Coturnix japonica: one gene and its partners. The protein of the gene in region 6 purifies or fractionates together with the protein of the main gene of each other region. This does not show direct contact. Links are inferred from orthologs where the notes say so. Each region holds a gene or a part of one and is shown on either strand. Other genes may lie near its edges. The genes, in order: VPS13B, MLF2, VPS13C, KIAA0100, IFT122 and DNAJC7.

Region 1 (4,115 bases), on a different chromosome or scaffold from region 6:
GGAGGTCACGTCATGAACCAGTTTGATTGCCACTGATTTGTGCACAGTATTAGTGTTTGCCCAGTATATTCCAACCTGAAAAGCCTCCTGTAGGTGAAAAAAGACCAGCTATCACTTGTTGATAATTCCATGCATTTCTTTTACACTTAAACATTGTTTCCAGTATGCAGCCAGTGTCATTCCCTGCCTTTTTCCAATTCTCTCTAAGTGGCACAAGGATAGATGAAACCACATGGCGGATATGAGACTGACCCACCCAGTGAAATCAAGACTCTAGGCTACACTGAGATGTGTTAATCACCAGGCCTTTTGTTTCTGAACAGACATTTATGGGGAAAGAAGGATGGCAAAATATGCAGGAAGTATCAAATTGTCCTTCTGGAACTGACAAATTGGTCTGTCGAATTATCTTAATTCTTTCAAAAATAAACAATATTAGGACTGTAGTAAAAAAAACCAAAACACTTGAATGACAGAGCTAAGATGTGAGAAGATCCACTACATAAAGCCCTATATTCAGGAAGGAAGATGTTCTGAATAATTGTTCTCATTTGTCATTCACTCTGCCTTGTTATCAAACCTCTCTTGGTACTACATGAGCTATGAAACACCACCCATTGATGAAATGTTCCCTAAAGGCTGCCAGCTGTGCTACCATGGTCAACATCCCCCCCGAGCTAATAATACAGGATGCAGTTAGGCCTGCAGAGCAGTGCCCAAAGTCTTTACTTTTGCTTTGGAGTAATTTACTTAGGCTGGTACATGGAGAACTATGTCTCCTGACTCAAATGGCAGTTACCTCGAAGTTGGGGGGAATCATTACTTTCCCGGTAGGCACCTGAAGCACTATCTTCTCTCCTTCAAACAGCCAGAGGTCCCACTTGGACTGATTGATAAGCAAGGCCCATGGCAGGAGTTCTATCAGCAGAGTTTTAACACATGGTTTCCACACTGACAGCTTTACCCGCATTGGGCTGTCCCATTGGGAGAGCTGTTCACTGCTGTTTGGAAACAAACAAACAAAACAATGAAGCCAAAGGAACAAAGAATGACTTTAAGATATGTGCTTATTTTCATTTCATTTTCAAAACCTTACCTTTTTGAAATAGAGGAAGAGTCTCCTCTTACCTAATCATTCTGGAACATACTGTTATGCTGCTAGAGTGAGCCTCTTGCAGGCGATAAAGACATATTTGTAGCGGCATAACCTCAACTTAAGTTTTGTCAATTAATTGAATGCCCTAGAAACAGAATTACTGCTATTCTCTAAGGCTAAACCTGTGACTTCTGCAGACATAAAATCAAAATCTTTATTTATTTTCCCCTCAACTCTTTTTCTGCCATTTCTGAGCTGAAACACAGATGCCAAATAAATAACCTCTACAGCTTTTCAATGTAATCAAGGGCAGCCCCTGTGCTTACTGAAAGTTTTTCCTGCCTGCAACCACTTCTGCAGCTTACAAATAGGAATTCTGTAATTACTGAAAACAGACTCTTAAAGTTGATTTCATAGGGCTGACTAAGCAAACAAGCACCATGCAAAGCTCTTGATAACAAAGAAAATGTTACATTTAAATAGCATTTCAGGGGGCATCTTTTGGATGGGGTGCTGGAAGCACAATAATAACTTTTCAAAACTGATACATTCTATAGCTAGTTCAGAAAATTCTGTTGCCTAAAAATGCATTCAGAATAATCTAATGAAGGATAAGATACAGTAAGCTTGAACTTTTAAGAAACTTACACTAGAGAGTAAAAAGCAAAATGTACAAGCTTTCACTAACTGTGCAATACATGGCTAGACCAGATCATACACATCACATTTTAGATCACTGAGATTATTTTAAATTAACGAGGAATCCAGGACAAGCTATGATATTTTCACAGCTGACTTAACTTTGACAGGACACAGCTCGATCTATTAATGTGCGTACAAAGTTCACTGAGGGTCTTGGTGATCCTTATTTTGATTAAGTAGTTGAGCTCTATGGAGTCTATTCTTGGTCAAGACTCAAAACACTTACTGAGTTCCACTGTTAGGTCAATTGATTTAAATATCATTAACAAAGTTATATAGTAAAAAGAGATGAAGATAATAGCCTACTTAGATAAGATCAAAGATCCCCAGGCTAGTATTCTGACTCTTATACTGGTTAGTAACAGACGTCTACAAAACCCTGAAAAGACATCTGGCAGATACCAATGTACTGCCAGTACATTTTCCTGGCCTCCAACAACCTGTGAATTAGGTAGTTATTTAGTAGTAAGCGATACCTTTGTATTTAATGATATGGATGTAAAAATTTTAGTTAGCTTCCTAGATGCTTTATTCCAATTAACAATTTTATCTTGTAAAAGACCTCTATATGAAAAGTCAACGTAATGACCACGAAGTACATTTAGCAAAAAACTACCTGTCTGAATCCTTCTTGTTATATGGCCATGCAGGCTGACGAGGATTAGCAGTGCCATAAAACTCGGACAGGATCTGGTTGACGTTGCCACCTGGGTGGGATTTAGTTGCTATATGTTTAATAAGCGTAGTTGAGATAGGGACTGCGCACTCTGACGGATCATCTTCCTCCCTGTCATTGAATACAGATCTGGTCATTCACGGAACAAGCTCAAGTATTAATAGCACTAACATTTTCTATAATGAATCTTAACAAGTGGGTTCTGCAAGAGAAACACTCTCAAAGTAATTGTGGATGAATTAAACAATGATGTCCACCAAGTTACCGAGCATATACAGATATGCATGAATTTGTTACGACACTTTAATAACATTTGTGTCTGAGACCCCAGGAACTGAAGAGTATTCTCAATCAATAGTCCAAGAGAATTCAAGATGGTTTTTGTTTTCTTTTGTTTACTAATACACAAAAATGTGGACAGTTTAAGCAAACAAATGACATCACATTCAGTTCAGTGATACTAAATGTATTATTTCCTATCCTATCACTCCAGGTAACACACACTTGTTCTCTTGTATCTCCTTCGCATACTCTGTACTCTTTGAAACACTGCACTAGAAGTTAAAGTGTAAATCATTTCTTCTTTTCAATACAAATGAATCATTTTCAAGGAAAGTGAATATTTTACCTGGCTTGAAATGTCAGGTGATGTATAAGATCAGGTTCTATATTTTGCAGTGCTTTCTCCTGTCCTTTCCCTGGAACCACTTGTGTTTCATTCAATCCTAGACTCCTTTTCTCTAAATGTATGATAATTGGGTCTGGAAGATGGCTCCTTACAATGAAAAGAGGGCTGAAAACAATCTACAAATGAAAAAAAAACCACAACACTTTTATTCTCATTTTATTTCAGAATGACATCTGTTGAAACAAGCTATTAATAAGTCTTTTCAGTGGGTCATTCTGCCCTTAATTAATGACAGATAAATTGTCAACACTTAGGCTATAGAAGCATTACTTACTATTCGCTGCTGCACATGAGAGCTGGGCTCTAAGGTCAGAATGGTGCACCACACGTATGTAATCAAACTCTTTGAGGATGGCACCTGTATGCAGATAGATCGACAACATTCTATTAAAATTATTCTAAGCTGATGATAATGAACATTTCATCATATCAAACAGAACTTTACATTTAAAGTTCTCAGTTCTCACAGACATTTTCAAACTTATATCTCAAGCATTTAATTCCAGACTTACCTGAATGACAGTGCTGTGTTCTGTATGGTTAGAACTCAGACATACATCTTGGGACCAGTCTTCATCTCCCACGGCCTTCACACTCAGTTCGGTGAGCTCGTTGTCTTCTAGGACAAATGAAGGCAGCTTTTGCTTGGCTGCGAGGCAGTTGATGTGCTCTTTAACCACTGCCTGTCCATCCTGACTAATGTAATGCTGAACCACCTTCAGTTCGATACTTTCCGAAAGGTAACTACAGACTGTCTGTCTTCCACAGATTAGGATCTAAAACACACAAAAATATTCAGCCCGTGTATAAACAATTGAAATTAAGAAAGGTCAGGATTGAATTACAGATAGAAAACGTGTACAGAAACAATCTCTATTTTAGCATTTTCATTCTGTTACATTTTCCTGAGCACTACTGAAGGTAGTAAATGGTAAATATTGTTTTTATTGGCC
Region 2 (4,829 bases), on a different chromosome or scaffold from region 6:
ACTCTCATACTTCCATCCTATTCCATCTCTCCCCCCTGCATTCAGCAGGCGCGCCCCAGGAACAACATCTCTGTCACTCCATCCTGCTCAGAAGGACGTTAAAGCTTCACCACCCTAACAGCTTGATCACAGCCAGCACAACAGGACAGCAGACAACAGAGAGGATGGTAGAAGCACCATCAGTACTTCCCTCCTTAACACAGATTAATTTATTGAAGGTTCTTACCATGTTCCCAATCATGTCGTTCATCATGCCAAACATGTCTATAAAGCCACCTGCCTAAGAGAAAAGAGCACAGGAAGAGTCAATTTGGATGGATATGGGAGAAAAGAATTACAACAGCCTGTCTGCAAACTTTTCTTACTCTCCCTATAGGGAAAGCAGACGTTAAAAACGTGACTGTTTTTAATCTGGCAGAGCTAAAGGCTGCAGTTAGTGTACTCAGCCAGCAGGTCTGACAGATTAATTGTGCAATATGTAAACAAAATTACTGTGTCAGTTTAAAGGCACTGATTCCTTTTTCCCTTCTTCAAGTGGCTTCTTGTTCTCGTTTAGAGCAGACCAGAACTCACACGCAATGTTATTACCCTTTGAAGTCCAACTGTTTGTATTATTAATCCTTTTCTGAACTAGAATGATTCCAGGATGCTTCATTGAGTCAATCCCGCAGAGCAAGGCACCTAAAGCTGCTGGATCTGGAATAACTTATTTCCCCTGTATTACTACAATAGATAACTGAGATCAACAAGCTCCAGGAACAACATTTTCCCACACATCCAGCAATTCTCACTCCAATTCTGTTCTCTTGAATTACTCTTTTAGCTTTTCATTCTGCAACCATTTTCAAAGGAAGTTCAATTACCGCCTCTGCCTAATGACGGCCGAGTCTTTTCCATGTGTCATCACAGTTTCACAACAATCTCCAAACAGATCCACAGCTTCTTCTTAGACACATGAGGTTAAGAGACCCTCCGTTCTTCCTAGATATCACCTATCTCAATTCCTATGAAATACCATGCTGTAACAGCTTTATGGATCTCCTCTGTTCAAGGTGCCCGTATAAATGGACTCCTCTAAAACAGCTCCACAGACTACACTGAAGTATGAGGAGAAGTGGAAGGTCTAAAACCATACAACTCAGGAATAGCAGTGCAGGAGGAACCAGTTATCTTCAAACTTGACACTGAAAAACAGAGGACTTACCATGCCCAGCATCCCAAAGGGTGAAACAGCTCCCGCCTGTTGAGACAACAGAAAAACAGAATAAACGATGATCTTGCAACAGCCAAACACCAGATACTCCTCAGAGCCCCTCTCTTACCTGCATCCTACGGCCAGCCTGGCGAGCCCCAGGCGTGGTCCCATCAGTGATACCAAGCAACGGGCCAAAGCCAAAGCTTCCAGAAAGCATGCGGTTCATGTGCTGCCGGTGGATAGCAAAAGGGTCCCTTTGGGAAAGATTGAGAGAACAGTGGTGAGAAAAGGATGACAGAACACTGAGTCCTGTATAATACACACATTCTGACTCGGAGTTTCTCTTATGCAACTGTGACTGTATTTTCTAAGCTGAAAATCCAGAAGCTCAAGAACACACACAGTGTTGCGTATGCTAATCCTTAGGGCTGGATCCCATTTCTTCTCTTGTGACTGAAAGTATTATGCCACAGAACCTCTCTTACACACTAACTAATGTCTATTCAGCACCAGCTCCATGCTCTGTTCCCACTAATACTTTTGAGCCAAGCTCCAAAACCTCACTGCTCTACAAGGTAAAAGATCTGCAGTCCAAGCGCTACCATCATCTCATACTCATTTCCTCTTGAGCCATCAAAACTCTTTGCATTAGCAGCCTCTGCTTTAAGGACATACTTGTACACGCTGGAGAAGCAAGGAGGGAAAAAGTAGAACAGGGACAGTCCCAAATAACAGCAGCCACGCTAAAGAGCCTGAGAAGCATCACAGCATTTCTCTGCACATCTGGTAGTTCTGCATTCATCCCTCCAGAGCACAAACAACCTGAGCAGCACGTAATTTCCTGAGATCACAAAAGCACCGAGCACAACCCAATACTTTCCTGTTTCTGCTGGGAATACTTTGCATAATAAAAGCGAGACTCATAGCTGCCACATCAGTGAGAACTGTACACTCACTCTGTGACTGAGACTTCCAGGTCTCCTCTCCTACTCATTGGTTTATGGTTGATAACATTCTTATAATCAACTTTATAAGCAAGAGCAGGGCTTTGTTTTCCTACATATATTAATTGTAACTAATGTATAGCAGTGCCACACTTCATACAAACTCCTACCATATAACACTCTTGTCCTTAACTGCTTTGGCAACAACCGCCACCTCTCATCAGTTGCAACCCATTTCTGAGCAGGGGATAGAAATAAAAGCAACCAGTAAGAGGAACCCCAAAGCAAAGCATCATTGGGACCCACATCAGGTTTTCAGGCTTGTGTTTTAAAACGCCTAGAATTCTCCTCATTTAGTCCCTCACAACGTGACAGCTCCCTCAGCAGCCTCCTCCAGCTCCACTAATGAATTCTTCGGCGGGGTAGAAACGAACAGGCACAGATGATGTTATCAAACCTTACTCGTTATACGCAGCAATCCTTAAGCACAGCTAAAGGTCACAGAATCACACAGAATCACAGAATGACCCAGGTTGGAAGGGACCTCAAGGATCATGTAGTTCCAACCCCCCTGCCTGGCAGGGCCACCAAACATACACAGGGCCACCAAACATACAAAAGGTCGGGCGCTCCAGCGCTGCTTTCCTCACACACTCACAGTGTATTTGGCCTACTTTATTCAATGTGTCCTCAAAGCCACAGTGGTTCGGCTGGCACGAAACAGGCCGCTCCCATCCCCCCATGACCCCCCTCCCCTCCGTGCAGGCCGTGCCGCAGCGCCCCGGCCCCTCGAGCCGACTCACATAGCGAACATGGGATCCTCGGGCTCGCCGTCCCTCATCAACCGGAACATGCTGCTGCCCTGGCCGGGGGCGGGCTCTAAGGAGGGAGGGATGGAGGGATGGAGGTTGAAGCGCTGAGCAGGCCGCACGTCGCAAAGGCGGCCGCCCCCAGACCCGCACCTCACCTCCCCACCACCACCACTACCACCCCCCCCGGCCCCAGGCTCGCCCCCACCTTGTGCCCCTTCTCCGTGCGGTGCCGAGGGGCAGACGGCAGGAAGAAGACGAAGAGCAGAAGGATGCACACACGGGCCGCTCACTCCCGTGCTCCCATGGCGGCTCGCAGCCCGCTCACCCCTTCCGCTCCAGCCGGCTCGCCCCGCGCATGCGCGCACAGCGCCGTGTGTCGGTGCGCTCTCGCCGGGCAGGAAGCGGCGCTCGGGCCCGTGTCGGGGCACAGCGCCCCCTGGCGGTCAGTGCGGCCCGAGCGCCGCTATGCTGCTCTATGGCAGCGGGCCGCCAGCTCACAGCGCACCCGTGGGCACCGACACTCACCCGGAGCCGCTGCCAACACCACCAAGGCATCACTGCCCCCCTCCGTGAGCCTCAGTCACACGTCTGACTGTTCCAGCATGGAAAAGCGTTTCCTGCTCGGCGTGTTCAACCCTGGGCGGGCACGTGGTGCATTGGGTGTGTGCAGACGGGCAGGGAGAGAGCAAGAATGGAAGCGTTATTTATGGGACTGGGAGCAAGGCTGCGATAAAATGACCTGCTTTCCACGGATCCCAGCAGCCATCCCACCCCCAGACATGGCAGGGCTCCTAAAGCTGCTTCCATACACAGCATCAGGCATTACTGCCTCCCCAACACAGAGCAGGAGTGCACACTGTAACCTATATGTAACCTATGTAACCTATGTAACCTATGTTACCAGCAATGTTACCAGTTAAGCAAATCTGGCTCACTGGTGGCTGAAGCCCCAGCAACACAGACAAGCTCCCCCTTGTTAGAAACGCAGAATCTGTCATAAATCAAAGCCATTACCCACACTGCCTCCCTTCCTTTTTTAAAGCAGTCCAGGCAGAGGAGAATGGGGGAAGAGGAGAGGCTGAGCCAAGGGCAAAATGGAAGCGAGGAGTGATGCCACTGCCCTGAGCTCCACCTTCTGCTGCTGACTCGCTGCCATTCAGCATCCCTCCCCCTAACGTCCCCAGCGCTGTTAGCTGCGCACTCAGCCAAAGGGGCAACCACAGCGTTTTCAAAGCAAACTGAATATCACGTGGCGTGGGTAAATAAACGCTATGTTTAAAACAGAAGGATACAGGTATGCGGCCAAAGTTCACAATCTACTGATCGGAGTAGAAGCTGCAACGAGGATACAGTGTGAATAGGAAGAAGCAAGACTGAGCCCTGGAACAGGCTGCCCAGGGAGGTTGTGGATGCCCCGTCCTTGGAGGTGTTCAAGACCAGGTTGGACGGGGCCCTGGGCAGCCTGATCTAGTAAAGGTGTATGTTTGGTGGCCCTGCCAGGCAGGGGGGTTGGAACTACATGATCCTTGAAGTCCCTTCCAACCCGGGTCATTCTGTGATACTGTGAGCCCTGAGAACTGGAGCACCCACAGGGGGAAGGAAGAGGTCACAGACCGAACCCAATGGCCCCTTTCACAGGTGGTTGGAAACATACTTTCCTCTCATAAACAGCCGCTTGTGTATTTGCATCTGAGGGCGTTGCCTGTGTCAACACGACTCTTTGGGCAACAGTATCATCACCAAATATAGTCTTTGCTTTTTCTCCTCAAGGACCTCGCGTTGAGGCCTGCTGGTGTATTAGCACGGATAGGTCTATGGTACAGCATGTGATGGAGCAGCTTTGCGTGCGCAGCAGTTGAGGAAAGATAAAGCCAGAAA
Region 3 (4,837 bases), on a different chromosome or scaffold from region 6:
CAACATCTACACCAGCTTCAACAGCAAGTATTATTACAGAGACCACCTAAGAAATCTTGATAAAAGAAATTCAAAGGCAAGACAAAGGCTTGTACTCCAAAATTCCATTTTAAGATTTAGGTTGAAACAAAACAAAACAACCTTACCTATATGGCCAACTTTGACTCTGAAAGGAACTTCCAGTTCACTCTGTAAAAGAAAAATAAATATTAAACAGATTCGTGTATTGTGGAGGTAACTTGGTTCGGACAGCAGAATTATTATCCTGACTTCTCTTAAAACTGTAAACACAAAATTGAAGTTCCAGAACAGATGCAGTTCTCTGTATGACATAAGTGTAAATAATCAGCAACGCTCATGTGAATGTGGGAATCCATAAATACAGTCAGGCTTCCAGGAAGCCAAAAGGAGTTACACATTTCTAGCAGCTCTTTAATACACCTATGATAATGCTTTGCAACAAAAGTTACCCAAGAACTAAGGTTTCATCCACATACAAGAATATAAATTAAAACCTCATGAAGGATCTCATCTACACAGCGTATTGCAAAAAAAAAGGAATTTAACCACTGGTTAAAAGAGAGACGAGATAAACAGGAAGAAGAATAAAAGCAAGAAGGAAAAAATAAAAGTAAAAATTAAGATGTAATAATTTATCTATTCTTACAGTAAAATTCCAATTTCTAGTTGGTACCACCTTAGAGTTATCAACGATGGGCAAAAGAAGCAGGTAAGACATGAAATTTCAGAGCAACAAAGAAAAAATGGTGATGTCAAGCAAAAATTTAGCACGTTTTCCATCATCTTCCTGAGTGCAATGTGAAGCACACTGAAGTTTGTTGTATTCCTAATTCCTATTCCTTAGCTCAGGACACAATAACCAACTAAGAACTTTTCAGACAAGAATCTGGTTACTTATTGGAAACTCTTTCTTGTTTTTTCACTCACTGTTACTCCTACATTAACAGGAACATTTAAATAACCATATTACATGGTTAATCAGAATGTACAAGCTACATTCAGACTGCATACATCTCAAACATGTCACCCTCCACAGTTTTAACTGAAAATCAATTTACATAGCCATAAACATAAGCCTTTACTTCATCAACAGATGGAACTTTTTCTCCCTTCTTACCCACATCAAAACACAGCATCACAGTCTCTCACAGGACTTCAGCTATAACAATCTGCAAGATTCGGGCTTTGAAAATCCATTCATTCAACACATGCAGTAAAAAAATACACAGACCTGTGCATACCAGTTGTTTCTAGTAAGCTGTTCTGAAACATACAACCATCTATTGCTTGGACATACAAGTGATAAGCCCTATGGAAGACTAAACTATGACCTTATGGAAGTATGATTATGCAGCAGAAGAAGAAATTCAGTTATTTAGCTTGTACTGGAAGACTAAAGCAGTAAGAGAAATGTACAAACATTTACTATTTCGAGCTTCAAATCATTAGGACAGGTGGTAAGGCCTGTGCTCCAGAGCCTTCACAGCTTTGTTGCCCTTCTCCGGACACACTCCAGGACCTCCATGTCTTTCTTGTAGTGATGGACCCAAAAACTGAACACAATGCTTGAGACACAACCTCACCACTGCCAAGTACAGAGGGACAATTACCTCCCAGTCCTGCTGGCTGCATTATTTCTGATACAAGCCAGAATGCCATTGGCCTTGTCCACCTGGGCACATCACTGGCTCATGTTCAGCTGTCAACCAGTACCCCCAAATCCTTTTCCCCCACACAGCTTTCCAGTCACTCCACCCTGAGCCTGCAGCCACACATGGCATTGGTGTAACTGAAACATAGGACCCTGCATTTGGTCTTGTTGAACTTCATCCCATTGGCTTTAACCCATCAATCCAGCCTGTCCAGATCCCTCTGTAGGGCCTTCCAACCCTCAGGCAGACTGATACGCAGAAAACATCAGAAACATATTTGAAAACACTAGTGGTAATTTCTCAGATGTACTTTTCTTGCGCACATATTTATGATCTAACCTGTGGACTTTTTTTTCCCCTTTGTTCCAATTTTTATTATTATGTATTATATTATTAGCAATGTTAGAAGCCATTAACGAAGTACGACTTTCAGTAACAAGCAAAGAAGGCACACACTGTGAAGTGAGACTACATACAGTAAGCAGCCCAGGGCTTTGCCCTCAGACCCACTGATACAGCTTGAGCATTAGTGGAATACTTACTAGTGCATTCTCCTTTATTTTTAAGTTGTCAAGCGCGACATTACCTATGTGGAAGAAAAAAGTTCATTGATGTCACACCTATGCAAAACACGCTGGAACAAGGAAAACAACCACAGCTTTGCAAATATAAGGTATAACACTGGGGAGCACAGGCACACCGAGTCATACATGAGGAAAACTGCACATGTACCACCCGAGTGCTTCAATAGCAGAGCTCCTCGGGCTATGTTGTTTGTAACATAGGTATGAATCATTCACCGCGTGGCAGCAGCGCGATCAAACTAAGGAGAAAAGCTTCATCCCCTGTGGCACTGACAGCCCCCACACGAGCAGCGCAGCCGCCCCAGCCCCCTCATGGACACCGCCCGCCGCCGGGAGGCGCCACCAGCGCGGGAAGCCGCGGCCCCATCGCCCACCGCCGCCCCTCACGGGGGAGAACGCGGCCCCGCTCCGACCGACCGCCCCCGGGGGGTGGTCCGCGGTCTCAAGGCGACCGACCGCCCCTCCGGGAGCAACGCGGCCCTCACAGCGACCGCCCTTCGCGGGGCAGTGAGGCGGAGGTACGCTCCGCGGCTACAGGCCGCCCGCCCGCTCCTCAAGGGGCCGCCGGCAGCTCGGCTAATACGGGGCCAGCCAGACCCGCTCCCCGCGAGGAAGCGCCCTCCCCCGGTGGCGGCGGCGGCCCCGCTGCGCCACAGAGCCGGGGCGGAACGGGCTCCTTACCCCCCCATATACCCAGCTTGAGCTGGGATTTGTTCAGGTTCTCCACGTAGTCGCCGAGGAAGCGGTTCAGGACGTCCGCCACCAGCGACTCGAGCACCATGGCGGAGGCGGGCCCACCTCACGCCTCCCGCGGCCCACCGTACTCCGCCCGCGGCGCACCGGGAGCAGCGCGGAGGGGAGGGAACAAGGGAGGGGGGGCCGGGAGCGGCGCGAGGCAGCGGCTGGAGCGTTCCCGCGGTCAGGTGACGGGGCGGAGCAGCTCAGCGCCACACGGAGCTGAGGGGACGGGGTGGGTGTCGGCATGGCTGCGGAGCAGGTGTTGGGGGGCTGCGGGTGGGGAGAGGAGCAGCCCCGAGCCGCGGCCCCGAGGCGGGGAAGCAGCGCTCTGAAGGGCGAGGGTGCCTGCTGAGAGTTCTTATGATGCACAGAAAAACATTGGTGTTCATCCGGCCGCCCAAGTGACGTGAAAACTGGCAGAAAAGGAGAACGAGAGAGGGGAAATGAGTACTGGCAATACTCAGGCCTGAAAAATGCATGAAAATAAGACAACAACGGGGACGGTCGGTGAGGGAGGCAGGCAAACGCTTCAAAATGCGGATAAAAAACATTGTGGAGCCGAGTGCGAGGGTGTGTTAAGAGAACACCGCTGAAGGAGCGAATTTTTGTGAGCCGATAAAGGTCTATTAGCAGCTGTTACCCCTCGGTGCTGATAGAGCCGCGTCCGAGGCCTGCAGGCTCCCTCTGCTGTAGCGGAGCTGAATGGGAAGGGCTGTGTGCGGTTATCTCCCTTGTGCGGGAGGCACGAACATGAGGTCACCCCTGTATGTATAGATCTGTTAAATCAACCTGTTCAATAACGCACACAGCCAGCCCAGAGCAGGCGACAAGACAAGAAGATTCCTTATTTGGTGCGTGCCACGTCTGTACGTTGCTAGGAATATGTGTGCCTCACTTTAACACAAGCATTTTTCGATGTTTAAAGCGTGAGGCAGAACATTACATCACTAAGAGCAAAGTTCGGATCTGCGGTGGTTGTTAAACACAATGATCCATGTGATTGGGTGGGGGAAGTTGTACGGCACAATGCTGAGGATTCATGGAAATTGTGGAAAGGTTCATCAGTGGGAAGTGTCACCCTTGTGTACCTTTCTGTAGGCACCTACTGGTGAGCACCAAGAGCACATTGGATGCTTTTTCCCTTGCACGTACTGTGGCAGTTCTTGGACGAGAACTGTCAGATGCTTAATTAATAGTCATTGTATTGATCAAAATCATCTGTGCATGCTGCATTCTGGGCCTTTTGCAAGGCTGGTTTATGCCTGTATGTGGTTAAGTTGGTTTTATGTTGAGTCATTAGTGCCATTTTTGTTCTTTCAAAGAATTCCCCCCATGTTAACCCAGAGGTGATTCCAAGGACCTTCAAACTAAACGCATGATGTGTGACATGATTACTATAACAGATGAGATTTTTCATTAGAGGATGGCATTCAAGTACCACATTCTTCTTTTAAGCTCTGTTTTGCTTCAGACAGGAAGAAAAATTTCTAATTATATAACTTCTAGAAACTGCAGAAGGTGCCAATGATTTATTTCTTTACTCCTTCCATGCAGCGCTGTCTGCTCAAAGGTATTTGTATCCTTGGGAAACATCAGTGCAAGAAAACAAGGCAGGAAATTGTGTGCTGAGATTCTGCTGCCATTTTGATTGGTAACAAACTTTCATTTGTGATTACTACAATAAAATTTTAAAGGGCTTTTGCTTATTGTGCTTTGTATCTACAAGCTGTGGCTGAATAAGCTCTGAGCAAAAGCCAATCAGTGAGAGCTCGATCTCTTAGTGTATATAAATTTAAGAGCAGTTGTGCAAATCGGGGGCACTGAATGTTCTCTATAACAATT
Region 4 (4,584 bases), on a different chromosome or scaffold from region 6:
CAGGCCCAAACAACTCCCTGTCAGCCCCACCTCATCCTCTAGCCCGTTTCTCCCAGTCCTCATTCCCATCCTGCCCCATCTTGGCCCCTAGGGTCGACCACATACTCTGCCTCCCCCATGTCATATCATCCCCCACACAAGGTCAGCATCCTCTGGAAGCCCTGTAGCACCTTTGGGTGCTCTGCATTAATGAGGTTACTGAGGAATCAGCACTCAAAACTTGCAGCCTGTAAATCTGAGCCCATAGAACTGTCCCTTCTCTGTCCCTCTGCTCATACAAAGACCCAAGCCCTAAAACTGAGCTTTTTTTTTCCCCTCCAGGAGGTGAGCGCCTTTGGAGAGAATGGTGAAGGTGACTACCTGGATGACTGGACAGTGCTGTGCAGTGGGACATACTGGGCACGGGACAGCGAGGTGCGCTTCCAACACGCCTCCACCGACGTCTTCCTCTCGGTGACAGGAGAGCAGTACGGGCGGCCTATCAATGGGCAAAGGGAGGTGCACGGCATGGCCACCTCCAGCCAGAATAACTACTGGAAGGTGATGGAAGGAATCTTCATGCAGCCCGGAGAGGTCTTCAAAGCGGAGCAGCACCACGTTGAGTTGTGACAGATGGACTGATGCGTTCGGGGCTGCTCAGTGTGGGGATGGCCCCCGTCTACACGCGGTTGTGATGTGCACTGGGAAATGGAGCCCAACATCCTGAATTCAACACAAAGCTGGTCCTGGTGTGCTGAATTTGACATGACATAGAACTTAGTGTTTGGGGTCTAAGGCAAAGCAGATCTCAACATCCCAAATCCAACACAAAGCTGATCCCAACATCCCACATCCAACATGAAGCTGATCCCAACATCCCACATCCAACACAAATATGATCCCAACATCTCACATCCAACATAAAGCTGATCCCAACATCCCAAATCCAACATAAAGCTGATCCCAGAATTTTAATTCCAACACCAAAGCTGATTCCAATGTCCTAAATTTGACACTAAACAGATTTCACCCTCCCAGATCCAGCACAAGGTCAACCCCAAAGCCTAGTTCAGACTAGAAGCAGAGTTCAGTGCCACAAATCCAACAGGAGTCAGATCACAGAGCCTCAGATCCAAGCACCCCAAATGCAACTCAAAGCAGATCCCAGCATCCTAAATCCAACACAAAGCAGATCCCAGCATCCCAAATCCAATTCAAAGGAGATCCCAGCATCCTAAATGCAATGCAAAGGAGATCCCAGCATCCCAAATCCAATGCAAAGGAGATCCCAGCATCCCAAATCCAATGCAAAGCAGTTCCCAGCATCCCAAATCACATCCCAAAGTCCCATTTGGACCCAGATCCCAGAACCCCAAATAAATCACATCCCAAAGATCAGCCTGGACACACAGCAGCTCCCTGCTCCCCAGAGCGGCACCCACACTCTCCATCTATAACCTACATTTATTTATTATTCATCTCCATCTCCCCTGGGCCGGATGGGGGGGGTCTCCTCGTGTATCCGATCCCCCTCCCCTCTATACGGGTTATGGATACGGGTTAGGGCTGCTCGTTCCCATTACCCCGCAGAGCGGTGCAGTTCCACCCCGAGCCTTTAGGGGGCGCTATCGCCATAACTCCGTGTTGATCCCGCCCCTCCGCTTCCAACCGTCACTCCAGGCCCGGCAGGCGGCTCTGCCCCCGCTGAGCGGACGGCGGCGGCCGGGCCCTGGGGGCCGCCATGCTGCTGCCTCCGGGTCTGCCCCTACCGCTGCCCGCCGTTCTGCTCGGCCTCGGGCTCGTCTTGCTGCTCGCCGGGCTGTTGGCGCGGTCAGGGCCTGGGGGCGGGCCGCTGGGACCGGGGGAGGGGCGAGGAAGGAGGTGGTGGGAGTGTGGGGGGGCGAGTGTGAGGAGGGGTTGGGGGGCGTAAAGATGGGGGGGTAGTAGGCCTGGGTGGTGTAGGGTGTAGAGTGGGGTGTAAGTGGCAGTGAGGGGGTGTAGAGGGGATATAGGTGCGGGTATGTTGCATGGAGTGCTCTGTATAGGGTGTGGGTGGGGATGAATGTGGGGTGGCAGGGGTGTATGGGGGCCCATAGGGGTCTCTGAAGGCCCACAGAGCTGGCTGGGGTAGTGTCAGGCTGAAGGAGATTGCAGGGAGTTGGGGTGGGGGCTGTCAGGGCTTATAGGGATCAAGGGATCTTGCAAAGATGCGTGTGGGGTGATGGGGAAGTCAAAATGGAGCTTTGAGGCTATGGGGGGTGTTAGGGCTTTGGGCTGCTCCCATAGTTCAGGGATACTGTGGAGCTTGGAGGGAAATATCAAAGGTGGAAGGTGTTGTGTGAGGGGGATACAGCCAGATATGGGGGTTTTGTGGTTTTGCGGTGATCCCATCCAGGTCTGGGGGGATCTTATGGGGCTGGATGTGGAGAGAAAGGTGGGGTTGGAGCACAGGGCTTGGTGTGGAGGCTGAGGGACCCACAGATGTGAGAGTCTCTAGGGCAGTGCAGGTGGTTGGAAGGGAGAAGGTGTGTGGCTCAGGACAGCAGAGGATGACCCTGTCCCTTTGCATGTGCCCACAGGTGGCTGGCGTGTCACCTGGCCATCACCTGGTGCCGGCAGAAGCTGCAGGCGGAGCTGAAGATCGGCTCCTTTGGCTTCTTCTGGGCACAGAACATCAGCCTCAAGTTCCAGCAGGAGCAGCAGACAGTGGTGGGTACCTGTGGAGGAGTCACAACTGGGTGAGGGTGGGATGGACGCCGTCCTTTTCAGGCTGGCAGCGAGTCTCTGCAGCCAAGCTGCTGTCACACAGCCCCAGGGCTGCAGCCCTTTCTCCCTTGGCCAAATACAGGGGTTTTTGAGTGCTCCCCACATGACGCAGGGCAACAGGAGTGGAATGAAAGCATCGGGGAGAGCACTGTTATTTTTTCACTCACCAGCTTTTATGTTCTTGCAGGAAATTGACAACATCTGGATCTCCAGTAAACTGAGCCGGGAGCTCCCGTATGTATCCACGTCCCAACTGCTTCTCTGCTTTCCTGGGGGGTCTGGCTCGCCCCTGGTCCTGCCGACTGCCTCTGCACCTTTCTATGGTGCTCATTTCCCATGCTCTGCGGGAGTGAATCATTCCCCTTTTGGTGTCTCATGGAGGCACCCCTGGGGCTGGATGTGTGGGCTCTTGTAAAGGTTGCGTGTGCTTGTTCTCCTGCAGACGCTACTTTGAGCTGTGTTTTGGTGAGGTCCGAGTCCGCACAGATCTGCAGAAGAGCCATGGGCTCCAGCCATCCTTCCCTGAGGCTCCCAAAGAAGCTGATGATGGCAAGAACAGAGCAGACATGGCCCTTAAACCATCCCTGCTGCGGCTTCTTAGCCAGGTGAGCTCTGGCTCCATGAGAGGGTGTTGCAGGCTGTGCTGCTCTTGCGTAGCCCTCACCATACCACCTTCCACCAGCTCTTTTCCATCCACATGGACTCCATCAACATCATGGTTCTACATGTGGCCACCTCAGAGTCTCTCTGGCACGTTCAAGCCAGCAAGACCCGTCTTCTCTTCAATGGTGATGGGAAGAGGTAATGCTGTATTCATGCCCTGTATCCCACCAAAAAGGGGGGGAAGGGGCTTGGTTTTGCAGGGCCTGCAGCTTCAGTCTGCTCTCTGCTCTCCCCAGCCTGAACTGTGAGGTGAACCTGACAAAGGTCAACAGCAAAGTGCTCCGGAGCAGCCAGCTGGTGAGTACTGGGGAAGGGAGAAATTCAGTGCGCTGGGGCTGGGCAGCAGCTCTCTGGGACACCCCAGGACCTGTTCCAGTGTTTTGTTGAGGCTGGGTGATGCTGAATGCCCTGCAAGGCTCTCAGCTGCATGCTCTGCCCAGTGCATTACCTGCAGCCTCCGTCAGCAGGGAACTGGGTGATTCCTGGTGTGCTCCTTGCCCATATCCCTATATAGGATGACACGTGTCTGGCAGAGCTGGCCCTGGCACTCTGCATCTCACTGGAGATCAGCAGCAAGCGGCGGCTGGTGGGCGTCAAGCTGAGTGTCCGGACCCTGCAGGCAGAGCTGCACGAGGGGCTTTTCTGCAGCCCGTTGTTGCACCGTGTGACAGCCAGAGCCTCTCAGCCCAGCCCAGGTCAGGGATGTGAACAAGGCTGGCAGTTCCACTGCAGCCAGAGGGATTTGGTTTTGCTATCATTGCTGCCAAATGCAAGGAGTGGGAGTCTGGGCAAGAGCCTTCCTGTGACTCTGTGTTTCCTGCTCTAGATTCAGGAGAGTCCCTGAAATCCCCATCCCTGCTGAGCAGGGACACACTGCAGCTCATCCCCAGGAGGGTAGAGGTGAAGCTGGAGAGCACCAGCGTGGTGCTGTCTATGAACAGCCAGAAGAGGTAAGGAGGCCAGATGGAAGAGGTGGTTGTACTAGCCATAGTCACTGCAGGGGACATGGTCCTGGGAATAGCTGTGCCACTTCCTGCTTGTCCCTTGCTCTGCCTGACTGCAGAGAGAAAATCCCAGGGGGAAGAATGTGAGTAGCCTGGGGCTGTGGGCTCTTGGGGAAGAAGTTAGGCAGGGAATCTGGTTCTCTGGCACGACAGCATGATGGGATCCTCTGCT
Region 5 (4,115 bases), on a different chromosome or scaffold from region 6:
GTACGGAACTGACCCTGCATTAATACTACCTGGTTAAATAATCTGACCTCCACGCTGAAGTTTGTTTAGGTTGAATGGATTTTACCCAGACCAAAAAAAAATAACAGCAACAAAACCAAAAACGTTACTGGAACACCATCAGTGCACTGACACCCGTTAAGCACACACTGCCTAGTAAGAAGAATGCAGCACCAGCTCCATGTCAGTGACCAAGGGCTGTCTCTTTCATTAGCATGTAACAGTAACTGCTGTTCTGAACGCTACCAATCACAACCCTAACAACACACGTTAGGAAAGACATTTTGGAAGTATATGTAAGTGAGGAAGTTACTAATAGGAAAGCAAACATCCCATCCAGAGCCGTAACGGAAGAAAAACTGCCTTCCCTTTGTCAGTCAGTGACCCTTTCTGTTGTCTTTTATGGACAGATGCATTTCTGCAGCGTTCGCACAGGCCTTGTATGAGGTAACCTGATCTAGCTGTGGATTTCCTCATTCACTGCAGGGGGGGTTGAACTAGATGGCCTTCAGAAATCCTTTCCAACTCTAAGGATTCTATGATTCTACTTCCAAAAGATGCAACATGCACTCACAAAGTTGTGCAAATGGTAGGTTGAGAGACACTGCACAGCTATAACAGCCTCAGATGGAGCAAAAGTGGCTGTTTTTTCCCCCTGCTCCCATCTGAGCTCAAGGTTGTCAAGATTCAGATCCAGCATCCTGTTGGGATGACTAATACTCCTTGACAAAGTCACACATCATGCTGGGTGGGTGGCTGAGAATTACATGTTGATTTGTTCAGCTCTCCAAGACGATAAGGAAAAAAAAAAAGAAGACAGTGCAGTTAAAAACAATGGTTTGAAGGTGCTGATTATTTCCCTAGGGGCATAAATCGAATTCAATTAGCTACAACCCACAGCTGAAACTGAACATAACCCAAAGTAGATCTCTGCACTGTGGCTCAACATCAATTACTCTTTTAGTGTACCTCAGCCTCTAGATTCTGTGCAGTGTTGGAAGGATACACTTTTGAGATCCCCAAGGGAGTCTCCTTTGTTAAGCTGTGAAGCAGAAACCTGGAAATATTGAAGAGTGTTTCAGGCAAGTGGAAACTGAAAGGTTCCTCCTGTGGAATTAAAAATAGAGACATTTCTAAGACAATTCACATCACTACACATCACAATACCAGGCATCCCAAGTATTGTCATGCAGTTCATGCAGTTGCTAAAAGAGCAGATGCTGACAGAACACACCAAGCGGATTTCACATGTTAAACACCAAAGTTCATGCCTGTTACACACAGAAAAAGACAGAAAGGGATCCACACAGCTAAAATAGAATCCTTACCAGGCTATATAAAAGCAAGGCATGAACAGTGGGCAGCCTCCACCACTGAAAGGTCTGACATAGCCTGACTAGCAGAGACCTTGGTTGCACAGAGTCGTCTTTTGGGCAAGGGCATAGATTAGAGGCTTCTCATATGTTCCACAGAAGATATTTTCACCAACAGTTGTAGGAACATTACTATAATTGCTGGGAGCAGCAGGAGCTCTCCTCTCAAGACTGCACATCTTTTGGAGAAGTTTACATATATCACCACTGATAAGAGGTAACATGCTGTGGGAATCTCTGAATGAGGGTGTCTTCTGTATAAACCTGCTTTCCCCAATTAAAGGAAGAACCCACTGCAACCTGTAAAGGACCTGAGATCCGGGGTGCTGGAACCAATCAACACAGCCAGCAAAGAAAGTACTGGGGGTGGAGAGTCAGCCATGCTCATATTCTCTATGTACACAGTGAGACAAACACACATCTGCTAAAATGGCACGGCACTTTTTAAGAACTACGACAAGAGAAGTTCTTCTGCAGTACAACAGAAAGCAGAGAAATGTTGCTATACAGTATCACTAATCTACACTCTATTTAATTGTGTGAAGTCATTAAATGTTTCTTTATCTCTGGACTTCTGAAAGAAAAACATTCAGGAATACACACACAACTTCTAAAGTAAATATCTTACAGTGTATCTTTGAATATAGTGATAGACATGGTAGATTTCTGCCAATTGCTGGAAGTGATGAAACTTCTGCAACATTTCAGTCTGCTGTTCTTCATTCTCTGCGGAGAGAAAGGCATTAGTGTAAGCCCCCCCAGGTAAACCTTTGAGACTCAGTGTGAAGAAAACAACATACAGTGATACTCCCAAATGAAGTACACACCAGCCCAAGTGTCCCCCATCTACCTGTGCAAAACACAGGTTATACAGTCTTGCTACTTCTGGGAGCAAGTTTCTACTTCAAAAAAAAGCATGCTCAAATATGAGTGGTAATGGCTTTAATATAGCTAGAGGCTACAGGTTAGGTAAAGGGAGAAAAGAGCAGCTGTGCATCTCTGTAAAGCTCATTCATACCTTCAGAATTTACAAATAAAATGAGTTTTGAAACATTTCATGGATATTAAACACACTACTAAAAAAACTGGAACAGTTTGCATCTCCACACAATACCTCAGAGGCAACATATCAGCACTCTCAGGTGAACTAATAAAAAGGCACTTAAAGCACTGAGCAAAACACAGTACTATCAACCCTGGTATTCATTGGCAAATTAGTTCTCCTAAGCACTAGCTCTACCTCTCTTCCAGAGAAATACACTCAGAAGACAAGATGATAGCTCACAGTTTTGTATTTGTTGGCAGAAACAATTTGTAAAGTACCTCCCCTACCTACATTCAAGTACTAAGCAGATCTTATGCTCCAGAACCACCTTGCAGATACCAGTACGTGGACCCCTCAGTCACTGCTCTACCTGCAGCGTGTTGAGGGAAGCTACACAAGGACACAGGCTCCCAAGGATGCACTATTTTGATTCCAGCCAGATTTCAAAACAAGGCCTACGCACACTGCTGTTGTTGTTTTGCTCATCTGTTTTACATAAGAGCATGGGAAAACCAGTAGACAAAAATAGCGTATGCCAAAACTATGCACAGTATAAAAGAAAAAAAATAGTGAAGGAGCTGCAGCAATGCTATCACAGTTTAGCAATTGTCTGCCTACATGCACAAGAAGGTAAAAATATAAGCCTTTCAGTTACTTACCTTGGGCTATATCTAAACACTGCATGGAAAGCATCCAATAATAATAGGCTGCGTCGTTAAATCGGCTTTCAACCACAGCATTGTGTGTTAGCTGCTCCAGCACTCTCACAGCTTCTCTCTGCCTGCCAGCCTTGTGGAATGCTACAAAGACAAAACAAAGAGGATTTTACAGGGCAATTATATCAATTAGCTGAAATTAATGTTTTTAAATTAAGAGCAGTCTATTCAGACAATATCAAATCATCTATCCAGGGCAGTATGAAGGGATTATACACTGGTATTTTCTACTTGAAAGCAGCAACACTAATGGAACATGAGATGCAGCTGTAGGTGTTTTGTGGCTTTTGCACTGTCTTGGGGGCTCTTGAGCTGCTATGTCTTGTACACCTCCGGTGTTTTTGTTGTTCTTTAATATAGGAAAGAGCAAAAGCACAACAATCATTAGATCTGTTTTCAAGCAATTGCAATCTCTAAACACTGCAGATTGCACCTGCATTTAAAACTACAGTAAGTTCAAATTAGTTCTAGTCAGTAATGTTGAATGTTTTAGAAGATTATATTATTTATTATATCCTTGTAGCACTCATTAACAGCTTCTCTTTCAGTGAACTTCAGAAGCCAGTGTAAAGTTAGATTCTGACTTCTCACTTGGCATAAACACAATAAAGGAATGAAATAAAGTGCAATAAAGATAACAATTGCCTCCTGATTTAAATCAACTCCATTAAAACCACATTCTCCCAGACCCACACAGAGATCTCCTGCTCACCCAGTTTTGTGGAATTTGTATTAGCCAAGACAGAACAGCACGGAGCTTTGAGGAATAAGCTAGGAACAACACACATATATTCACAGATCTGTATGTGCAAACCACTCAGCTGCTCAAAGGTTTAGTGCCAAGATGTGCAGCCTAGTGCTGCATAGAGACAGCTCACGGCTGGCATAGCGCTAGCTTGGCCTTGTAAGCAAATGCGGTTACACTTTTAGATCCCAGCTGGCTGTGGAAACAGCAGATGCAGA
Region 6 (4,659 bases):
AGTACCTGCTGGGATAGTCTAAGGACTCACCAAGTGAAGGGGCTGCTTTGGGACCCCGAGTCTTTTGGGGGAGTGATCAAAAGCAAATCCACAGACATTTAGAACACTCCCAATACCTGAGGACAAACTCAGCCATGGAAGGCCAAAAGCCACAGCAGAGCAGGAGCACAGAAAGGAGCCAATGCCCCCCGCAGCACTCAGTGTAAACAGCCAGATGAGCCCTGAACGTTAATTAGACGGTTATGTAATGCACCTTGCTAGCAGAGCTCACTGTCAACCCACTTCATACCAACAGCAGCACTGCTGATGGCAGGGCTGAGCCTCAGTGCGTGTGAGAGCCCACAGAAGGCCCAGGACCACCCGGAGCACTGGCTGCCATGGAGGCCTGGATGCAGGAAACAGCCCAGCTGCATGGTAAGACAACGACACTCACGTGATTCACCCTAAAAAAGATGGTCTGGAGTTCAAGGCAGGCTTCAACACCAAGTTCCAATCGTCTTTTTCATGCTGTATACAGAAATTATCTCATTCAGAGCATTCAAATGCTCCACAAATGTATGGGAGATTAAACATCAACGTGAGGAGCTCCTGCCATTCCTCATATTACCCTAAGCTGATAATTACACGTTCACAAAACAGGCTGGATCCACAGCCTGGGAAACTCCAGCGCCCAGCGAGAAGCAGAGCAAGAATCCTGGATCAGCCCGTACCCACCAGCAAAGCCCCCCCAGCCAACCGAGGGCAGGGCCTGGCAGCACAACCTGCAGGGGCAGCCCAGGACATTTATCATCATTGGAGCAGCCTGATTGAGGTGCAGCTGATTTCATGTACAGCAGCAGCAGAAGGAGCCTTCCTGATGACCCACAGCTGACAGCCTGCGGGCAACATCTGTCGGACTCATTGTGACCCGAATTAAGGCCAGGGCTGGAACCTCCTCTTTGATTTCTGCACAATTTACTTTGTGTGGCAAATTTCACACTCATCGTTTTATTGAAGTTAACGACCATTTCCTGCAGAGGCACCAACACACCTGAATTCTGCAGCAAAAGCACCATGAAAACAACGCTCTGTCCAGATCAGTTCACAATATTTTCCACGTGATTTGAGATACCTCCCAGATGAAGCTGCTGCATCCTCCAGCAATTGAAGGAAGGGGAGAAGGATCCGGCCCTGAGCAGAGCACAGCGACAGAACCCAAACAGCAAAGGAATGGACCCAGCAGCACCACGCTCCTGGGTCAGCTGGGCCAAGGGATGGACCCCAGGGGTCAGAAACCTTCACCATTTGTGGGGGGGAAGAAAAGGAAGCAACTTTTGGGGATGAACCTCTCTCTGCCTGCAGTGCAGCCCCCACCCAGCAGGAGCTGCAGCTCCATCACCCAGCAGATAAAATTAATGCACTTACATCAACCCTCCTCCGTCAGGACCCTCACAATTTAAGCTGCCACAGCCCATAATTATCCTATGACCGCACTTTATTCCTGTCCCTGCAGCCGCCGGTGAGTGAGCAGCTCGGCATGTTTACAGCTGTTCAGGAATCCTCAGCCCCACCGTTACCACTTGTATTTTTATTAAGCCACATAGAACAGAACTGCACATTTAGTCCCTTTGCTCCAGGACTAACCCTCACCCACCTGTGCCTCGTCATGCTGCAATTCCTGAAGAGAGGCACAGAGCACAGGGAGCTCGGGGCTGACTTACAGCGCTTCAGTGAAGCTTTTTCATTCATTTTTGCTGCTTTCTAACAGAATCTGGCCCGGCTGCGTTCAATCAGATTCCAGAGAACGCCCGTGCAATTAATGCTGAGTGCCTGCAGAGCCCCTGCGTGGTTGGTGATGTTTTACAAACATTAAGCACCTAATTAAGCCTCCAGCCATCCTCCCTCGTTTGGTGACTATCAGCCTCATTTACATCAGCTCAGTTGACAGATAGAACTTGAGCAACCAACGTAAGCCCTGAGGACGCAGAGCTGCCGTCCCCAGGACCCTGCCTTGTTCCTCCGGTGCACACAGAGCATCACATCCAGCTCACACACTTTGAATCCCAGCAACAGAACAGTGTGAAATCACCCATAAAACCACAGGGCTACACGGCAATGCCCACAGGCTGCAGTGCCAGCACGTGGTGACCCAGGCAGGCTCTGCCCCTCAGAGCAGGACGGGGAGCCAACCCCCAGCACAGGGCAGCTCCCTGCACCCAGCAGGACCCAGGAGGAGGAAGGAAGGGGAACCAATGTCAGAGGACACCACGGGACGATGCGCCTCCGGCACAGCTCTTCCATTCGGGTATTTTTAACATTTCCGTCGTCATCTTTAACCAGCCCGAGGGGATGAATCACAGCAGCAGGATTCCCCAGCTCCACACACACACACAGCACACACAGCACACACACAGCACACACGATGCCTCCTGCATTTCCTCCTGCTCCTCATGACATCACCAGGAAGCTCTGGGTCCCGGAGCCATCCATCCATTGCTGTCGGTCCATTGCAGCTCCCCAGGCCACGGCTTTGCTCTGAACATCGCACTGCTCACAGGACGCTTCTAGTTTCGTTTCTGCTGCTGATTCCACCAACCAACGAGCTGCGGGAGCAGCCTCAAATCCTCCAGCCCCAGCTCTGTGCTCGCAGCTCCTCGGGGGTAACAAACCCGGTGCTGCTCACACCGCCGTCCGGGTGTCGGCCCTTCCCCATCGCATCCCCTGTGCTGACAGCACCCGGCCCATAGGGAAGCGCACACTGCGGGGTGCTGCCCTGCGCGGGGTGAAGCCGAGCTCAGCAATAGCGCTGTTACCAGGAGCCGTGAGTTACCGGGGGCTCCTCACGCACAGTTACAGCCTCACACCGGCTTCTCCCCCATCCAGCCCCGCTCCCAGCACAGCGCCGCGTTACGGGCCGCCTCGTGTCAGCGCTGCAGGTAACGCGGCGCCGGGCGGGGAGGAAACACGGAGCGACCCGGACCCGGAGCTTCTCGTCCAACGGAGCGACCCCGGAGCTCGATCCGTGCCGTGACCCCGAGCCCGCCCCGAGAGCAGAGCAGGGCAAAGCAAAGCAGCAGGGCAGAGCAGGCAGACGGCGCGGCCCGGTGAGGCCCCACGAGCCCAGCCCCGCCCCCCCCGTTACCTCCGGTCCTCGTCCTTTGCGTCTCGCCGTGTGTTCGCGTCGGGCGCCGCCATGTCACATCGCACTCCGCTGCGCCGAGCATATTACGCCGGGCGGGGGGCGGGGCGCCGGAAGGGCGGTTCCGGGGAGCCCGGCTGCCGGGAGCGGGGCGGGACCGCGGGGAGCTGCGATACCGCGTGCGGCCGCTGGGGGGCGCTGCGGGACACGGCGATACCGGGCGGAGCCGGTCCGTGATCCACGATCCGTGATCCCCGATCCGTGATCCCCGATCTCCCCCCGATCCCCCCGACCGTCCCCGTCCCGTGACGGATCCCCACGCGGTGCCGCCCCGGTGCCGTTCCCTGCGCGGATCCCGCGGTTCGGTCCCGGAGCGGCGATGGGGAAGAGCTGCAAAGTGGTGGTGTGCGGACAGGCCGCCGTGGGCAAAACCGCCATCCTGGAGCAGCTGCTCTACGGCAACCACGTGGTCGGTGCGTGCCGGGGGGACCCCACAGCCCCCCGGGACCCCCATATCCCCCCATAGACCCTTATATCCCCCCCACGACCCCCATATCCCCCCATACCCCCATATCCCCCCATAGACCCCCATATCCCCCCCAGGACCCCCATATCCCCCCGTGACCCCCATGTCCCCCCGTGACCCCCCCGCCCGCCCCGCAGGCTCCGAGATGATCGAGACCCAGGAGGACATTTACGTGGGCTCCATCGAGACCGATCGCGGCGTTCGCGAGCAGGTGCGTTTCTACGACACGCGTGGGCTGCGGGACGGCCTGGAGCTGCCCAAGCATTGCTTCTCCTGCACCGACGGCTACGTGCTGGTGTACAGCACCGACAGCAAGGAGTCCTTCAAGCGGGTGGAGCTCCTCAAGAAGGAGATCGACAAGTGCAAAGACAAGAAGGAGGTGAGCGCTGCGGGGCGGGGGGAGCTGCTGGGCCTTGGGACCCACCCGCGGAGCCTCCCTACAGACATGGGGTGCTGCTCCGAGGGGCTCTGAGCTGTAATGGGCTGCTGCTGTGGGCGGCTGTTTGCCCTGTGATTCCGTGGCTCCTTTGGCTGCTCCTCGGGGGCTGTTGGTCTTATTGGCATTAACTGAGAGCTCAGTTGCACAGTGGGGCTTTTCCTGCAGGGTCCTGCAGTGCTACACGTGCAGCTGCTCAATGGGCCCTTCTGTTTTGGGGCTGGTTTGAATCAAACCCAAACAGGAGGGTGAAACTGCCCAAAGGATGCACTAGGAAAGGAAAGGGGGGATTCTGTGTGGGGCAGGACCTGGCGCTGAACCAACAGGGGTTTCTTCTCCCCTGTATTTTAACAGGTCACTATTGTGGTGTTGGGCAATAAATGTGACCTGCAGGAGCAGCGCCGGGTGGACCACGACGCAGCCCAGCACTGGGCCAAGGGCGAGAAGGTGAAGCTGTGGGAGGTGTCTGTTGCTGACCGCCGTACCTTGATCGAGCCCTTCATCTACCTGGCCAGTAAGATGACGCAGCCACAAAGCAAGTCTGCTTTTCCCCTGAGCCGCAAGAACAAGGGCAGCGGG

What was found.
Region 1: the proteins of DNAJC7 (region 6) and VPS13B purify together in Homo sapiens (co-immunoprecipitation; 3 studies listed by BioGRID and IntAct, counting the BioPlex papers as one, with this or other methods). This does not show direct contact. The link is inferred for Coturnix japonica from reciprocal best matches to the Homo sapiens genes DNAJC7 and VPS13B.
Region 2: the proteins of DNAJC7 (region 6) and MLF2 purify together in Homo sapiens (affinity purification with mass spectrometry; 3 studies listed by BioGRID and IntAct, with this or other methods). This does not show direct contact. The link is inferred for Coturnix japonica from reciprocal best matches to the Homo sapiens genes DNAJC7 and MLF2.
Region 3: the proteins of DNAJC7 (region 6) and VPS13C purify together in Homo sapiens (co-immunoprecipitation; 4 studies listed by BioGRID and IntAct, counting the BioPlex papers as one, with this or other methods). This does not show direct contact. The link is inferred for Coturnix japonica from reciprocal best matches to the Homo sapiens genes DNAJC7 and VPS13C.
Region 4: the proteins of DNAJC7 (region 6) and KIAA0100 purify together in Homo sapiens (co-immunoprecipitation; 3 studies listed by BioGRID and IntAct, counting the BioPlex papers as one, with this or other methods). This does not show direct contact. The link is inferred for Coturnix japonica from reciprocal best matches to the Homo sapiens genes DNAJC7 and BLTP2.
Region 5: the proteins of DNAJC7 (region 6) and IFT122 purify together in Homo sapiens (co-immunoprecipitation; 3 studies listed by BioGRID and IntAct, counting the BioPlex papers as one, with this or other methods). This does not show direct contact. The link is inferred for Coturnix japonica from reciprocal best matches to the Homo sapiens genes DNAJC7 and IFT122.

Annotation. Positions count from the first base shown.
Region 1 is NC_029517.1:116,154,193-116,158,307, reverse strand, and holds part of VPS13B (vacuolar protein sorting-associated protein 13B), read right to left. Parts: intron 3,939-4,115; coding exon 3,675-3,938; intron 3,521-3,674; coding exon 3,437-3,520; intron 3,279-3,436; coding exon 3,103-3,278; intron 2,586-3,102; coding exon 2,415-2,585; intron 1,002-2,414; coding exon 800-1,001; intron 88-799; coding exon 1-87. UniProt on the Homo sapiens protein: Mediates the transfer of lipids between membranes at organelle contact sites. Binds phosphatidylinositol 3-phosphate. Functions as a tethering factor in the slow endocytic recycling pathway, to assist traffic between early and recycling endosomes.
Region 2 is NC_029516.1:69,478,266-69,483,094, forward strand, and holds the start of MLF2 (myeloid leukemia factor 2), read right to left. Parts: upstream 3,312-4,829; 5' UTR 3,157-3,311; intron 3,019-3,156; 5' UTR 2,993-3,018; coding exon 2,943-2,992; intron 1,450-2,942; coding exon 1,323-1,449; intron 1,241-1,322; coding exon 1,205-1,240; intron 281-1,204; coding exon 227-280; intron 1-226.
Region 3 is NC_029525.1:3,603,570-3,608,406, reverse strand, and holds the start of VPS13C (vacuolar protein sorting-associated protein 13C), read right to left. Parts: upstream 3,069-4,837; 5' UTR 3,039-3,068; coding exon 2,939-3,038; intron 2,776-2,938; exon of another isoform or gene 2,684-2,775; intron 2,260-2,683; coding exon 2,216-2,259; intron 190-2,215; coding exon 147-189; intron 1-146. UniProt on the Homo sapiens protein: Mediates the transfer of lipids between membranes at organelle contact sites. Necessary for proper mitochondrial function and maintenance of mitochondrial transmembrane potential.
Region 4 is NC_029534.1:4,551,704-4,556,287, reverse strand, and holds the start of KIAA0100 (protein KIAA0100 homolog), read left to right. Parts: upstream 1-1,630; 5' UTR 1,631-1,720; coding exon 1,721-1,809; intron 1,810-2,558; coding exon 2,559-2,688; intron 2,689-2,932; coding exon 2,933-2,979; intron 2,980-3,187; coding exon 3,188-3,350; intron 3,351-3,427; coding exon 3,428-3,546; intron 3,547-3,644; coding exon 3,645-3,705; intron 3,706-3,922; coding exon 3,923-4,103; intron 4,104-4,234; coding exon 4,235-4,358; intron 4,359-4,584. UniProt on the Homo sapiens protein: Tube-forming lipid transport protein which binds to phosphatidylinositols and affects phosphatidylinositol-4,5-bisphosphate (PtdIns-4,5-P2) distribution.
Region 5 is NC_029527.1:16,827,403-16,831,517, reverse strand, and holds part of IFT122 (intraflagellar transport protein 122 homolog), read right to left. Parts: intron 3,237-4,115; coding exon 3,096-3,236; intron 2,118-3,095; coding exon 2,020-2,117; intron 1,126-2,019; coding exon 1,025-1,125; intron 1-1,024. UniProt on the Homo sapiens protein: As a component of the IFT complex A (IFT-A), a complex required for retrograde ciliary transport and entry into cilia of G protein-coupled receptors (GPCRs), it is required in ciliogenesis and ciliary protein trafficking.
Region 6 is NC_029542.1:4,375,477-4,380,135, forward strand, and holds the start of DNAJC7 (dnaJ homolog subfamily C member 7), read right to left. Parts: upstream 3,175-4,659; coding exon 3,122-3,174; intron 1-3,121. Other genes in the region: NKIRAS2 (NF-kappa-B inhibitor-interacting Ras-like protein 2), read left to right, coding at 3,498-3,591, 3,782-4,023, 4,435-4,659. UniProt on the Homo sapiens protein: Acts as a co-chaperone regulating the molecular chaperones HSP70 and HSP90 in folding of steroid receptors, such as the glucocorticoid receptor and the progesterone receptor.